Xenopus tropicalis: one gene and its partner. The protein of the gene in region 1 interacts with the protein of each later gene in a pairwise test. Links are inferred from orthologs where the notes say so. Each region holds a gene or a part of one and is shown on either strand. Other genes may lie near its edges.

Region 1 (8,342 bases):
GTGAGGGGCCCAGTAACTAAGGGCTGCGCGTGAGGGGCCCAGTAACTAAGGGCTGCGCGTGAGGGGCCCAGTAACTAAGGGCTGCGCGTGAGGGGCCCAGTAACTAAGGGCTGCGCGTGAGGGGCCCAGCAACTAAGGGCTGCGCGTGAGGGGCCCAGCAACTAAGGGCTGCGCGTGAGGGGCCCAGTAACTAAGGGCTGCGCGTGAGGGGCCCAGCAACTAAGGGCTGTGTGTGAGGGGCCCAGCAACTAAGGGCTGCGCGTGAGGGGCCCAGCAACTAAGGGCTGCGCGTGAGGGGCCCAGTAACTAAGGGCTGCGCGTGAGGGGCCCAGTAACTAAGGGCTGCGCGTGAGGGGCCCAGTAACTAAGGGCTGCGCGTGAGGGGCCCAGTAACTAAGGGCTGCGCGTGAGGGGCCCAGCAACTAAGGGCTGTGTGTGAGGGGCCCAGCAACTAAGGGCTGCGCGTGAGGGGCCCAGCAACTAAGGGCTGCGCGTGAGGGGCCCAGTAACTAAGGGCTGCGCGTGAGGGGCCCAGTAACTAAGGGCTGCGCGTGAGGGGCCCAGTAACTAAGGGCTGCGCGTGAGGGGCCCAGCAACTAAGGGCTGCGCGTGAGGGGCCCAGCAACTAAGGGCTGCGCGTGAGGGGCCCAGCAACTAAGGGCTGCGCGTGAGGGGCCCAGCAACTAAGGGCTGCGCGTGAGGGGCCCAGCAACTAAGGGCTGCGCGTGAGGGGCCCAGCAACTAAGGGCTGCGCGTGAGGGGCCCAGCAACTAAGGGCTGCGCGTGAGGGGCCCAGCAACTAAGGGCTGCGCGTGAGGGGCCCAGCAACTAAGGGCTGCGCGTGAGGGGCCCAGCAACTAAGGGCTGCGCGTGAGGGGCCCAGCAACTAAGGGCTGCGCGTGAGGGGCCCAGCAACTAAGGGCTGCGCGTGAGGGGCCCAGCAACTAAGGGCTGCGCGTGAGGGGCCCAGCAACTAAGGGCTGCGCGTGAGGGGCCCAGTAACTAAGGGCTGCGCGTGAGGGGCCCAGTAACTAAGGGCTGCGCGTGAGGGGCCCAGTAACTAAGGGCTGCGCGTGAGGGGCCCAGTAACTAAGGGCTGCGCGTGAGGGGAACAGCAACTAAGGGCTGTGTGTGAGGGGCCCAGCAACTAAGGGCTGTGTGTGAGGGGCCCAGCAACTAAGGGCTGCGCGTGAGGGGCCCAGTAACTAAGGGCTGCGCGTGAGGGGCCCAGCAACTAAGGGCTGCGCGTGAGGGGCCCAGCAACTAAGGGCTGCGCGTGAGGGGCCCAGCAACTAAGGGCTGCGCGTGAGGGGCCCAGCAACTAAGGGCTGCGCGTGAGGGGCCCAGTAACTAAGGGCTGCGCGTGAGGGGCCCAGTAACTAAAGGCTGCGCGTGAGGGGCCCAGTAACTAAGGGCTGCGCGTGAGGGCCCAGCAACTAAGGGCTGCGCGTGAGGGGCCCAGCAACTAAGGGCTGCGCGTGAGGGGCCCAGCAACTAAGGGCTGCGCGTGAGGGGCCCAGCAACTAAGGGCTGCGCGTGAGGGGCCCAGTAACTAAGGGCTGCGCGTGAGGGGCCCAGTAACTAAGGGCTGCGCGTGAGGGGCCCAGTAACTAAGGGCTGCGCGTGAGGGGCCCAGCAACTAAGGGCTGCGCGTGAGGGGCCCAGCAACTAAGGGCTGCGCGTGAGGGGCCCAGTAACTAAGGGCTGCGCGTGAGGGGCCCAGTAACTAAGGGCTGCGCGTGAGGGGCCCAGTATCTATAAGGGGAGAGAGGGGCCCCAGTATCTATAAGGGGAGAGAGGGGCCCCAGTATCTATAAGGGGGGAGAGGGGCCCCAGTATCTATAAGGGGAGAGGGGCCCCAGTATCTATAAGGGGAGAGAGGGGCCCCAGTATCTATAAGGGGAGAGAGGGGCCCCAGTATCTATAAGGGGGGAGAGGGGCCCCAGTATCTATAAGGGGGGAGAGGAGCGCCAGTATCTATAAGGGGGGAGAGGGGCCCCAGTATCTATAAGGGGGGAGAGGGGCCCCAGTATCTATAAGGGGAGAGAGGGGCCCCAGTATCTATAAGGGGGGAGAGGGGCCCCAGTATCTATAAGGGGAGAGGGGCCCCAGTATCTATAAGGGGAGAGAGGGGCCCCAGTATCTATAAGGGGAGAGAGGGGCCCCAGTATCTATAAGGGGGGAGAGGGGCCCCAGTATCTATAAGGGGAGAGGGGCCCCAGTATCTATAAGGGGAGAGAGGGGCCCCAGTATCTATAAGGGGAGAGAGGGGCCCCAGTATCTATAAGGGGAGAGAGGGGCCCCAGTATCTATAAGGGGAGAGAGGGGCCCCAGTATCTATAAGGGGAGAGAGGGGCCCCAGTATCTATAAGGGGAGAGAGGGGCCCCAGTATCTATAAGGGGAGAGAGGGGCCCCAGTATCTATAAGGGGAGAGAGGGGCCCCAGTATCTATAAGGGGTTACAGCGGACTCACTGGGGAAAGGGAAGTTCAGACGCACTACATTACCCATAATGCTACTACATTACCCATAATGCTACTACATTACCCATAATGCTACTACATTACCCATAATGCTACTACATTACCCATAATGCTCTATGCGCCAGATAGTAAAGGGGAGGAGACCCCAGGGCCCGGACACTTTCCCACAAGCCCCTGCGCTCAGCTGTTCGGACACATCAGGGGGCGGTACCTACTGAGGGAACAGCTGATCTCTAACCTCCCACGTGACTCGGGTTCGCTCTAAATGGACGTAACAGGCCCCGCCTCGCTTTCCCCCTTCCACCCAATCAGGGAAGCGCTGTGTCCGGGCCCCGGGCCAATGGGAGCGAAGCGCGGTGACTCACCATATAAGGAGAGGCTTTTCCATAAAAGGAAACATTGTAACGCTTTATAAGGGAGAAAATAGTCCCTCAGCGCCACTCCGGCTCATGTACCCTTCCGCCCAAACCATATTTAATGGGAATTAGTTCCGGCAAGGGGCGCGCAAGGATCTCATTTACACGCTCTGGCGGTGGGAACCGAGTGTGTGAGTGTGATGCGGCTCGGGATGTGATTGGTTGGAGCAGGGAGAGCGGGGAAGCCACAGCCAGACAGGCCGGTCAGGGAGAGGGAGTGCGGCCCGGGCCGGAACCAACAGTCCGACAGCGAGAGAGTCCGGGGGGGCAGGTATCCGTATTAGCCCCAGGGAGAGAGTCCGGGGGGGCAGGTATCCGTATTAGCCCCAGGGAGAGAGTCCGGGGGGGCAGGTATCCGTATTAGCCCCAGGGAGAGAGTCCGGGGGGGCAGGTATCCGTATTAGCCCCAGGGAGAGAGACGGGGGGGCAGGTATCCGTATTAGCCCCAGGGAGAGAGTCCGGGGGGGCAGGTATCCGTATTAGCCCCAGGGAGAGAGTCCGGGGGGGCAGGTATCCGTATTAGCCCCAGGGAGAGAGTCCGGGGGGGCAGGTATCCGTATTAGCCCCAGGGACAGAGTCCGGGGGGGCAGGTATCCGTATTTGCCCCAGGGAGAGAGTCCGGGGGGGCAGGTATCCGTATTAGCCCCAGGGAGAGAGTCCGGGGGGGCAGGTATCCGTATTAGCCCCAGGGAGAGAGTCCGGGGGGGCAGGTATCCGTATTTGCCCCAGGGAGAGAGTCCGGGGGGGCAGGTATCCGTATTAGCCCCAGGGAGAGAGTCCGGGGAGGGCAGGTATCCGTATTTGCCCCAGGGAGAGAGTCCGGGGGGGCAGGTATCCGTATTAGCCCCAGGGAGAGAGTCCGGGGGGGGCAGGTATCCGTATTAGCCCCAGGGAGAGAGTCCGGGGGGGGCAGGTATCCGTATTAGCCCCAGGGAGAGAGTCCGGGGGGGCAGGTATCCGTATTAGCCCCAGGGAGAGAGTCCGGGGGGGCAGGTATCCGTATTAGCCCCAGGGAGAGAGTCCGGGGGGGGCAGGTATCCGTATTAGCCCCAGGGAGAGAGTCCGGGGGGGCAGGTATCCGTATTAGCCCCAGGGAGAGAGTCCGGGGGGGCAGGTATCCGTATTAGCCCCAGGGAGCAGTGTTTGCTTTGCCCAGGCAAGGGGCACTGAGGAGCTCAGGTGGGGCATTTAAGTTTGTACCCCGGGCAGATTGCTAGTAGGCATTACCCCAGGAGGGTAGGTTAGTTATACCTATTATAGGCGGGTTTTGCCCCAAGGAAGGGCAGATTAGTAGGTTTTATCCCAGGAAGTGGTATAAGAGTGGGGCACCCCCCCATGCCCCCTAGGGATGTTGCCCAGTAGCCAGGCCGGGGTGGTGGGGTCAGGCCGGGGGCTGGGGTTGGCCCGCAGGGCAGGCAATGGGGCTGGTTGCCCAGGGGTTAGGGGCCCCGGGGTCCAATACAGCGGCAGCTCTGGGAGCTCAGACTCGGGGGAAGAGGAGGATCCTCCTGGGCGGGGGTTAAAGCGGGGGCTCAACGAGCTTGAGCTGCCGGAACAAGGGGGTGCAGCCGGCGGTGTGGGGTACCCGGGGGCCAGTGGCACGGTGTCAGGGGCAAAACCTGGCAAGAAAACCCGCGGCCGAGTGAAGATTAAGATGGAATTCATCGATAACAAACTGCGGCGCTACACGACCTTCAGCAAGCGCAAAACTGGCATCATGAAGAAGGTAAGTACCCCGGGGCATCTGGGGCAAAAGTACAAACAGCTAGGGTATATCGGGCATAGGGAACTTAGATTGTTAGCTCACTGGGGCAGGGGCTGATGGGAATGGGATAGGGACCTTAGATTGTTAGCTCACTGGGGCAGGGACTGATGGGAATGGGATAGGGACCTTAGATTGTAAGCTCACTGGGGCAGGGACTGATGGGAATGGGATAGGGACCTTAGATTGTAAGCTCACTGGGGCAGGGACTGATGGGAATGTGATAGGGACCTTAGATTGTAAGCTCACTGGGGCAGGGACTGATGGGAATGGGATAGGGACCTTAGATTGTAAGCTCACTGGGGCAGGGACTGATGGGAATGGGATAGGGACCTTAGATTGTATGCTCACTGGGGCAGGGACTGATGGGAATGTGATAGGGACCTTAGATTGTAAGCTCACTGGGGCAGGGGCTGATGGGAATGGGATAGGGGCCTTAGATTGTAAGCTCACTGGGGCAGGGACTGATGGGAATGGGATAGGGGCCTTAGATTGTAAGCTCACTGGGGCAGGGACTGAGGGAAATGGGATAGGGGCCTTAGATTGTAAGCTCACTGGGGCAGGGACTGAGGGGAATGGGATAGGGACCTTAGATTGTAAGCTCACTGGGGCAGGGACTGATGGGAATGGGATAGGGACCTTAGATTGTAAGCTCACTGGGGCAGGGACTGATGGGAATGTGATAGGGACCTTAGATTGTAAGCTCACTGGGGCAGGGACTGATGGGAATGGGATAGGGACCTTAGATTGTAAGCTCACTGGGGCAGGGACTGATGGGAATGGGATAGGGACCTTAGATTGTATGCTCACTGGGGCAGGGACTGATGGGAATGGGATAGGGACCTTAGATTGTAAGCTCACTGGGGCAGGGGACTGATGGGAATGGGATAGGGACCTTAGATTGTAAGCTCACTGGGGCAGGGACTGATGGGAATGGGATAGGGACCTTAGATTGTATGCTCACTGGGGCAGGGACTGATGGGAATGTGATAGGGACCTTAGATTGTAAGCTCACTGGGGCAGGGGCTGATGGGAATGGGATAGGGGCCTTAGATTGTAAGCTCACTGGGGCAGGGACTGATGGGAATGGGATAGGGGCCTTAGATTGTAAGCTCACTGGGGCAGGGACTGAGGGAAATGGGATAGGGGCCTTAGATTGTAAGCTCACTGGGGCAGGGACTGATGGGAATGGGATAGGGACCTTAGATTGTAAGCTCACTGGGGCAGGGACTGAGGGGAATGGGATAGGGACCTTAGATTGTAAGCTCACTGGGGCAGGGACTGATGGGAATGGGATAGGGACCTTAGATTGTAAGCTCACTGGGGCAGGGACTGATGGGAATGGGATAGGGACCTTAGATTGTAAGCTCACTGGGGCAGGGACTGATGGGAATGTGATAGGGACCTTAGATTGTAAGCTCACTGGGGCAGGGGCTGATGGGAATGGGATAGGGACCTTAGATTGTAAGCTCACTGGGGCAGGGGCTGATGGGAATGGGATAGGGACCTTAGATTGTAAGCTCACTGGGGCAGGGGCTGATGGGAATGGGATAGTGACATTAGATTGTAAGCTCACTGGGACAGGGACTGATGGGATAGGGACATTAGATTGTAAGCTCACTGGGGCAGGGACTGATGGGAATGGGATAGGGACATTAGATTGTAAGCTCACTGGGGCAGGGACTGATGGGAATGGGATAGGGACCTTAGATTGTAAGCTCACTGGGGCAGGGGCTGATGGGAATGGGATAGTGACATTAGATTGTAAGCTCACTGGGACAGGGACTGATGGGATAGGGACATTAGATTGTAAGCTCACTAGGGCAGGGACTGATGGGAATGGAATAGGTACATTAGATTGTAAGCTCACTAGGGCAGGGACTGATGGGAATGGGATAGGGACATTAGATTGTAAGCTCACTGGGGCAGGGGCTGATGGGAATGGGATAGGGACCTTAGATTGTAAGCTCACTGGGGCAGGGGCTGATGGGAATGGGATAGTGACATTAGATTGTAAGCTCACTGGGGCAGGGGCTGATGGGATAGGGACATTAGATTGTAAGCTCACTAGGGCAGGGACTGATGGGAATGGGATAGGGACATTAGATTGTAAGCTCACTGGGGCAGGGACTGATGGGAATGGGATAGGGACCTTAGATTGTAAGCTCACTGGGGCAGGGACTGATGGGAATGGGATAGGGACCTTAGATTGTAAGCTCACTGGGACAGGGACTGATGGGATAGGGACATTAGATTGTAAGCTCACTGGGGCAGGGACTGATGGGATAGGGACATTAGATTGTAAGCTCACTGGGGCAGGGACTGATGGGAATGTGATAGGGACCTTAGATTGTAAGCTCACTGGGGCAGGGTCTGATGGGAATGGGATAGGGACCTTAGATTGTTAGCTCACTGGGGCAGGGACTGATGGGAATGGAATAGGGACCTTAGAGTGTAAGCTCACTGGGGCAGGGACTGATGGGAATGTGATAGGGACCTTAGATTGTTAGCTCACTGGGGCAGGGACTGATGGGAATGTGATAGGGACCTTAGATTGTAAGCTTACTGGGGCAGGGACTGATGGGAATGGAATAGGGACCTTAGATTGTAAGCTCACTGGGGCAGGGACTGATGGGAATGGAATAGGGACCTTAGACTGTAAGCTCACTGGGGCAGGGACTGATGGGAATGTGATAGGGACCTTAGATTGTAAGCTCACTGGGGCAGGGGCTGATGGGAATGGGATAGGGACATTAGATTGTAAGCTCACTGGGACAGGGACTGATGGGATAGGGACATTAGATTGTAAGCTCACTGGGGCAGGGACTGATGGGATAGGGACATTAGATTGTAAGCTCACTGGGGCAGGGGCTGATGGGAATGGGATAGGGACCTTAGATTGTAAGCTCACTGGGGCAGGGACTGATGGGAATGTGATAGGGACCTTAGATTGTAAGCTCACTGAGGCAGGGGCTGATGGAATGGGATAGGGACCTTAGATTGTTAGCTCACTGGGGCAGGGGCTGATGGGAATGGGATAGGGACCTTAGATTGTTAGCTCACTGGGGCAGGGGCTGATGGGAATGGGATAGGGACCTTAGATTGTAAGCTCACTGGGGCAGGGACTGATGGGAATGGGATAGGGACATTAGATTGTAAGCTCACTGGGGCAGGGACTGATGGGAATGGGAAAGGGACCTTAGATTGTAAGCTCACTGGGGCAGGGACTGATGGGAATGGGATAGGGACCTTAGATTGTAAGCTCACTGGGGCAGGGACTGAGGGGAATGGGATAGGGGCCTTAGATTGTAAGCTCACTGGGGCAGGGACTGATGGGAATGGGATAGGGACCTTAGATTGTAAGCTCACTGGGGCAGGGACTGAGGGGAATGGGATAGGGACCTTAGATTGTAAGCTCACTGGGGCAGGGACTGAGGGGAATGGGATAGGGGCCTTAGATTGTAAGCTCACTGGGGCAGGGACTGAGGGGAATGGGATAGGGGCCTTAGATTGTAAGCTCACTGGGGCAGGGACTGAGGGGAATGGGATAGGGACCTTAGATTGTAAGCTCACTGGGGCAGGGGCTGATGGGAATGGGATAGGGACCTTAGATTGTTAGCTCACTGGGGCAGGGACTGATGGGAATGGAATAGGGACCTTAGAGTGTAAGCTCACTGGGGC
Region 2 (7,094 bases), on another chromosome or scaffold:
TCTTAACTCATTGAACACAGCTGGAGTAAAGCTCTTTAAAGCTACACAAGTGGAAAATCTCAGTGAGAAGAAAAGTGTTCAGGAATCTCCTTTATCTGTGATAAAATTTGTGACAACACCAACCAAGAATCCTGAGCCACCACCTCAGTTTCAGTCTCTCCCACCTCCACCTCCTGACCCCCATGAGAAACCAGCAGAGCCTCTACCAGAAATTCCTGTAAAATCCACGATATCACCCCTTGTCTCTTCAGTTTCCGAGCCCACAGATTCAACATCACCAGCAGTAGAAATTGAGGTTAATGCTCAACTGGAATCTGAAACTTCTCAATCTCTGGATTTTTCGCATGATGTTTCCATTGATGATCCAGATCCAGAACCTGAACAGGAACTTGAGCAGGAAACCTATGTACTCGATGTAAAAAGCACCTCAAAGTCAAAAAAGCCAAAGGGGCTTGAGTTGGCTCCCACTGTGGTTATCACCACAAGTGATTCCAACCCTCTGGGAATCCTTAGCCCTTCACTGGGGACAGCTTCTCTAACACCTGCATTTTTTTCCCAGGTAAGTGGGCAGTTTCTTGAAATGTTGCTATCAAACAATAAGATTTAGAGATTAAGTATAACTAATTCAGAATTTTTTTTTAATATTGTTTTTATTTATTTTTTGTAACAATCTGATTCCACAACTATTTCAGACACGGACCAAGCAGGTTTGTATTGGCGGAGAGTTGTCTTCAGTTGGTAAGAAGATGTTATTGGTTAGCGATAGGAACAAGGTGTAAACTTTGCGATAAGGGAGAGGTGGGGGGGGGGGTCTAGGCAATGATAGTTAATGGAGAACAAAAGGCTAAGTCACTTGGGGGTACCAACATGTTTAAGAGTGCTTTTTGCGCTCGGGGGTATAGTTCTTGTCAGACAACTATCGACAGCCATATGATTGGGGCAAAAACTAAGCACAGTGTGCAAGGCGTAGGACAAGAAAAATAGGTTACTAGGTGAGTGTAACAAATTTACTGAAACCAGTTTAATACAGAAAAGCATGATTCTACCTTGCAAGTTTACGTTGTTGCATCTGGCTTCTCTTAGCTTATTATTTCTGCATGAGTAAACTTCAAATGCAAGTCAAGATGTGCATACAACAATTTTGTCCCTGAGGAAGAGCACAGTAAGTGCTCGAAACGTCAGATCTTTTCCAATAAACACGTTTTTGCTTTTTCCTAAGTCCCCGTGTGTGCAGCACTCTGTTCCTATATATATATATATATATATATATATATATATATATATATATATATTCATCAAGATAAACAGAATTGAATGTGTATGCAGAGGTACCTGAGCCGAAATAACAATAATATGTAATTTACAGTACAATGCAATCTCTGTGTGTGGTTTAATTGTTGTGTTATTTTAGGCATCTTAACAATGCAGTTACTGGGTTGCTCTCCTTCTTTTGCTATTCTCCTTTCATCATATTCAGTAGAGCACCGTTTCTTAATTTGTGGTGGCCAAAGCATTATCAGGACTATTATTTTATTTTTTATCTATTATTTATATAAAGCCACACACATTTATGTAGTGCTTTACAGAAATTTTATGTCAATAACATCAGTCCCTGCCCTAGCAGAACTTTTCTAATCCTCGGTTCCTATCCCATTCACACACATGGCCCAATGTAATCAATAGCCAGTTAACATGCCTGTATGTTATTGGAGAGTGGGAGAAAACCCAGAGTACCCAGAGTTCTGTATTTTTGAGTAAAAGGGCGGTTTGTCCCTTGTTTCCTTTTTTTTTTGTGCAAAAATAGGTCCCCGCTATCTGACTATGTCTTCTAAATATTTGTAAAGCATTATAATTTGCCCTCAGAAGACCCATTTTATAAAAGATAATACTACCAGCAACACAAAGCAGATATAAGCAGGCAGTGTGTTTATTATGTAACAACGATTTCTCATGAACACCAAATGGATTGGATTATTGGCTTGTGTATAAAGATAGGTCAATCGGAATCATATAAATTGTGAAACCAAAAATAGAAATCAGTGTGGGCCAAAAGGCACAAGTATTGCATTATATGACTTATTCTTTCTGGTACATCCACACTTTTTTAGTGGCCTTACTTTGGCTACAAGAAGGATTTTTGATTCTTTCACTGGGTGGCATTACACTCATGTATATGTAAGTTTATTCATATACTCATAGTTTCATTAGGTACTCATAGCAACTGTGAGAGTAGGAAAAGCTAGTTAAGCAAATTACCAGTTCACAGATTAGTTATTTTTTATCTGAAACCCAGACACACCGAGCTTATTACCTCTGTATAAACAGTCTGTCATCATTACAAGCAGAGAGAGAGGGGAGAATAAAAACAAATAAAAACTAATATAAAAAAAAAAAGCAAAACAATATAAAATGGTTGCCATATGCCAACTGGCAGGCATACTAGTGTTTTCCTCTAGTTGTGCCTAAAGGTTGCCATACACAGGCAGATTTAAGCTGCATATTGGAGTCCTTTAGACTGATTTGGCAGCTGGCCAAAATCCTCCAGATGTCGGGCAAGTTTGATTTTTTAGTTGTATCGGGGGCTGCGTCAGCTCATTGATGCAGTCCTCACTCGGACCCAAAGCCGGAACTAGGGGTAGGTGACAAGGTACCACCAGTTCCGGACCCTTTCCCTCAATTGTGCAGCGGCCCATGTAACCTCCCGCCGCTCTGTGTGCGCATGCACCGGTGGGGGGGATCGATGGGTGTTGGCAGTGGGCGGGCCACTGCTCAGACCACTTCTATTTTTGTCGTTAGAGCCAAACCATTGTTTAAGCCTGATATCGCCCACCTTAGGTGGGCATAATGGGGAAAGATCTGCTTGTTTGACGGCCTGGCCAGACGAGCAAATCTTATAATGTATGGCCATCTGAAGGGCTGCTAAATAGCTCTTAAATGCCTAGTAACACTGGACATAAAGAACACCAGGAGCAAAATGAAGCCATTTACTGCCTCAGTAAATTTTGTGTATCGTGACATGCAATAGATAGAGTTTTTCTGAGCTGATTAAACATAATCTATTTTATCATTTTATCATTTTTTATGGTATCGTGTTTTGTTTTTTTTTATGATTTTTATTGATTTTCAAATATAAAGAAAACAGAGTAACTAATAAAAAGTCAGATAGGTGTCAAGTTTTGATCACTGTTGCCTTATCTGGATGCCTAATAATGCCTAGTGCAGTGTTTCTAGTTATCTGTTTAGTCAGTTGACACAAACAGCTGGTTTTCAAGATAACCAAAAGCCTTGTCATCACAAAAGTACTAATTGCAATAATCTATTTTTAATCGGCATGTTCATATTATTCATTTTAGGGCTGTGACAGAGGAGCAGATTAGTCGTCGGGCGACTAATGTCCCCGAAATGCCATCCCACTGGCTAGAATGTAAATCGGTGGTGGGATGGCATATGTAGCACCGAAATCCCCGAAGTTTCCTCTCAAGGCAACTTCGGCAAATCGCTGCACCGCGTATGCCATCCAATCGGTGGTGGCTATTAAATGTAACTAACATTGACTTGTTACTGTTTCAGACTCCTATTCTGCTGACCCCTAGCCCCTTGTTGTCCAGCATACACTTCTGGAGCACACTGAGTCCAGTGGCCCCTCATAGCCCTGCCAGATTACATGGAGCAAGCACTCTGTTTCAGGTAGGTGATCAATGATTCAGGTTGCATCCACAATAGTAAGGGGTTCTAACCCTCACAAAATGATTTATGTAAATTTAATCAGAGTGGTCATCTGAACACTTTTGCAATTTACATTAATTTCCTGATTTTAGTGGATTCGAGATATTATCAGTTATAGTCAGTTTTATCAGCACTTTCTATGCACCTGCATTGCAGTCACGCAGGATTGCTTTCTTTCTACATTTTAGAGAGAAACATGGTTTTGATCCCCTCTAAATTTAATAGACAGATGTAATTTATGTATTGAAAGGACAAGCAATTCTGCACTTCTTAGACAAAACAACCCCAAATGTGTTAAAACTGTACTGAGGCTGATTGATAATGCATTCATGTATGATGTTGCAATATATTCAGATTACCATTGTAATGCCTTCTTTACTTAGTAGGAGCCAGCCAGCACATTTAAAGGTCCCAGCTGCATGGCCTATGCATGTGTGAATGAGTTTCTAAAGAAACCAAATAATGTTGGACAGGAATTTTGCCTGTTGTGTCTGCTTTATGGATTGTATTGCAGCATCTGACATTTATTTTCCTATTTAGTTTCCATCTGTGTATAACAGCCACATGCCGTTCACCTTATCAAGTTTCGACAGCCCAACCACACCTGGACCTTTTTCTCCTGATCTTCAGAAGTCCTAGCAGAAACCTTGTAATATCAGAGCAAACATGAAAAAACATGTAGGGTGGGATGTACTAGAAAAAGAAAAAGTTATATATTCATAAAGTAGTAAATATCAGTTGCCACAAGTAGAAAAAGAATCGTACTGAATTTAGGGACACCATGTTGCTGAAAATGTTATCGAGATCAATTGCACTTGGAAAAAAAGTCAACTATGAATCAGGTGACAACACAAAGTCAGTAGGAGCCTACTGCCTTGTTGTCCTGACTAGTTTTTAATTTCTTCATCAGATCAGTTACTTTTGGTTAAATAATAAAACTCCTTAGCTGTTTTTTGCCTTTTAATAAACCTGTTTACCAGGAGAAGGATGCAGTTTGGAACAAGTTGGAACCTTTGAAGAATTGAAACACCTCAAGCATAATTCAAGGATCAGTCAAGGTCCATTTTGACTCAGGTGGAGGTACTGTTCAATTTTCATTTTTTTTAAGAGAATCTAAAGCACTTAAACATATACTGTAATAGGCCAAAGGGAAACAGTGGACTTATGCTATACTCAAGAGCCATGTCAGCCATGTTTGTACTGCCACCTAAAATCCTAGTAATGTTGCCCAGCTGGCTATGATCTAACTTAACTGTAGCCACAAAACAGGCATCTAGTGCAATTCTTAATAGTGCAGTATCTCCAAGTCCGGAATTATTTTATTGTATATACAAAAATATATATGGTTAAATAAAATCATACATTTTGTCATTAGATGGTTTAAGAAAAACTCTTAAATGGCTCTCACATAAACCAACTGTTACATTCAATATATCTCAAAAATGGTGGAAATCATCAAAAGCAGTTAGCACTAATTTGCCTTATCTGATCCATGGGTATATATACTTGTGGTGGTAAGATACAATGCAAAAAGTTGGAATTAGGAGCTCTATATATCCTACGATGAAGCAGTGTTTTGGATAGATTTTAAAATACATACAAATGTAAAGTTATATATTGGAAATATTGTTTATATCCCAGTTAAAGGTTTGCACTTTTACTGATGACTTTGTATGGCTAGGAACTTTGATTTTGAGAAAATGGCTTTCTGCTTGTGGAAAGATAAAATCTGGCTCATGTGATTATGTACAGCCTCTTACATAGGACCAATATGTAATATCAGTCACGTGTTTGTTTACTGTGACTTTATTTTGAATGCGATTATTGAGTATGATTGGGTCTCAAATGCGGCTGGCCTCCATTTTACTGCTTTCCTTTGGCCAGATCTATACTGGTGACATCTCTTGTTTAGCATAAAAGAGGAGCACCACTTACTGGCAAACCTATTCTGTTTTTTGACTCCTTGCAATACATTCATTTCTGTTTCTTAAAAGTACTAGGAGCATAAGCCCGGCAGAATATATTTGGAAAAGAATTAGTTTGTGTTGTATATTTTAGCTGGGTACTTGAACTGCTGTCTATAAGCATTGCATTCCTTTTTGAATTAACTGAGCAGCAATTGCTAATTACAGCTTTTTTAACATAACATGTATAATATTTTTTTATTTTTTTTTTTATATTTCAGTAAATGTTTTATTGAGCTTCTAGTAACGCTGTTAGCAGGGGCAGTTGTTCACATACCTTTTCCTAGAAGTTAAAGCTTCCAAATCTGATATGAAAACCATGTCCCTCGTATAACCCCCTAAAGCTTAGTGTGCCCCATTGAAGGGGTAAAACCTGAATGCAAGGCTGTCAAATTTGTGTTTCTGCATTCTGTTTTGGCCTGTCCAACATGTTTGCTGGCAGCATGGGTAGTGACATGAGCAAAGAACCTTGGCATTGAAGGGGTAAAGCATCTGCGGTAATTTTCCAAATGGAAGTCCTGAAGAAACAAGATCTGAGACTGTGAAGAATTAAACTTCCTTGCTTGTTCCCTGAATACTCCCATTTATTCATCTGGCCCTAAGTTGCTGATATTACCAAACAGCCAGTAACCACCTAGAGCAGTCTAGATCCCATGGAGCATGTGCAGTCCCATCTGCACCAATGAAGGGACCAACCACACTTAAAGGTCACTTAAAGGGATTCTGTCATATTTTTAATGTGTGTTTTTTATTACTAAATTACAATTAAATTGTGGCCCAGCATGTTTTTTACTATTGAGTGCTATTCTCATATCTACCACTTGGTGGGGCATGGGATCATTTTTAGCAAAGCAGGTGTCCGGAAGCTCTTATCTGGTTACTTGCCCATTGTTCTGTTGATAGCCTGCTGTGGGGGAAAGCAGGGGATGAAATAACTCCAACTTGTCACGTGGTTGAGGGTACCTGGGAAACTAAGAATATGTCTAGCCCCACATAATATTTTAAAACTAAATACTGAAAAAAAAATTGTTTTTGCTTTTTTGAAAAATGAATTTTAATGCAGGATTCTGATTCTGGAAACTATTTTTGTAAAAAAACATAATTTTCCGTGACAGAACCCCTTTAAAGATCTCTGGTAACTGTGTATGTAGGTAGCAACTCATTGCAGTTTTTGAGACATGTTCTAGTTTGAGCTTCAACAGCTTTAAACAGAGCAAACTTTTAGAGTTAGTGTTTGCTTTGGAGGACAGAGTGTAGACCCAGGTGTCTTGGGGCCTTGTCTCCAGCCTATGGGGACTTTGCCTGCTCCCAAGCCAGTTGTGAATCACAATTTGCTCAGCTTGATGCTGGACACAGGTTAATAATGGGAAGGTAGGGGGGCGCCTTTTATAGAAGTGATTTTCG

The links.
Region 2: the proteins of srf (region 1) and elk4 interact in a two-hybrid assay, tested with the Homo sapiens proteins (2 studies listed by BioGRID and IntAct). The link is inferred for Xenopus tropicalis from reciprocal best matches to the Homo sapiens genes SRF and ELK4.

What each region holds. Positions count from the first base shown.
Region 1 is NC_030681.2:1,165,990-1,174,331, reverse strand, and holds the start of srf (serum response factor), read left to right. Parts: upstream 1-2,900; 5' UTR 2,901-3,933; exon of another isoform or gene 3,934-4,013; 5' UTR 4,014-4,247; coding exon 4,248-4,625; intron 4,626-8,342. UniProt on the Homo sapiens protein: SRF is a transcription factor that binds to the serum response element (SRE), a short sequence of dyad symmetry located 300 bp to the 5' of the site of transcription initiation of some genes (such as FOS).
Region 2 is NC_030678.2:73,348,039-73,355,132, reverse strand, and holds the end of elk4 (ETS domain-containing protein Elk-4), read left to right. Parts: coding exon 1-559; intron 560-3,570; coding exon 3,571-3,687; intron 3,688-4,266; coding exon 4,267-4,365; 3' UTR 4,366-5,158; downstream 5,159-7,094. UniProt on the Homo sapiens protein: Involved in both transcriptional activation and repression. Interaction with SIRT7 leads to recruitment and stabilization of SIRT7 at promoters, followed by deacetylation of histone H3 at 'Lys-18' (H3K18Ac) and subsequent transcription repression.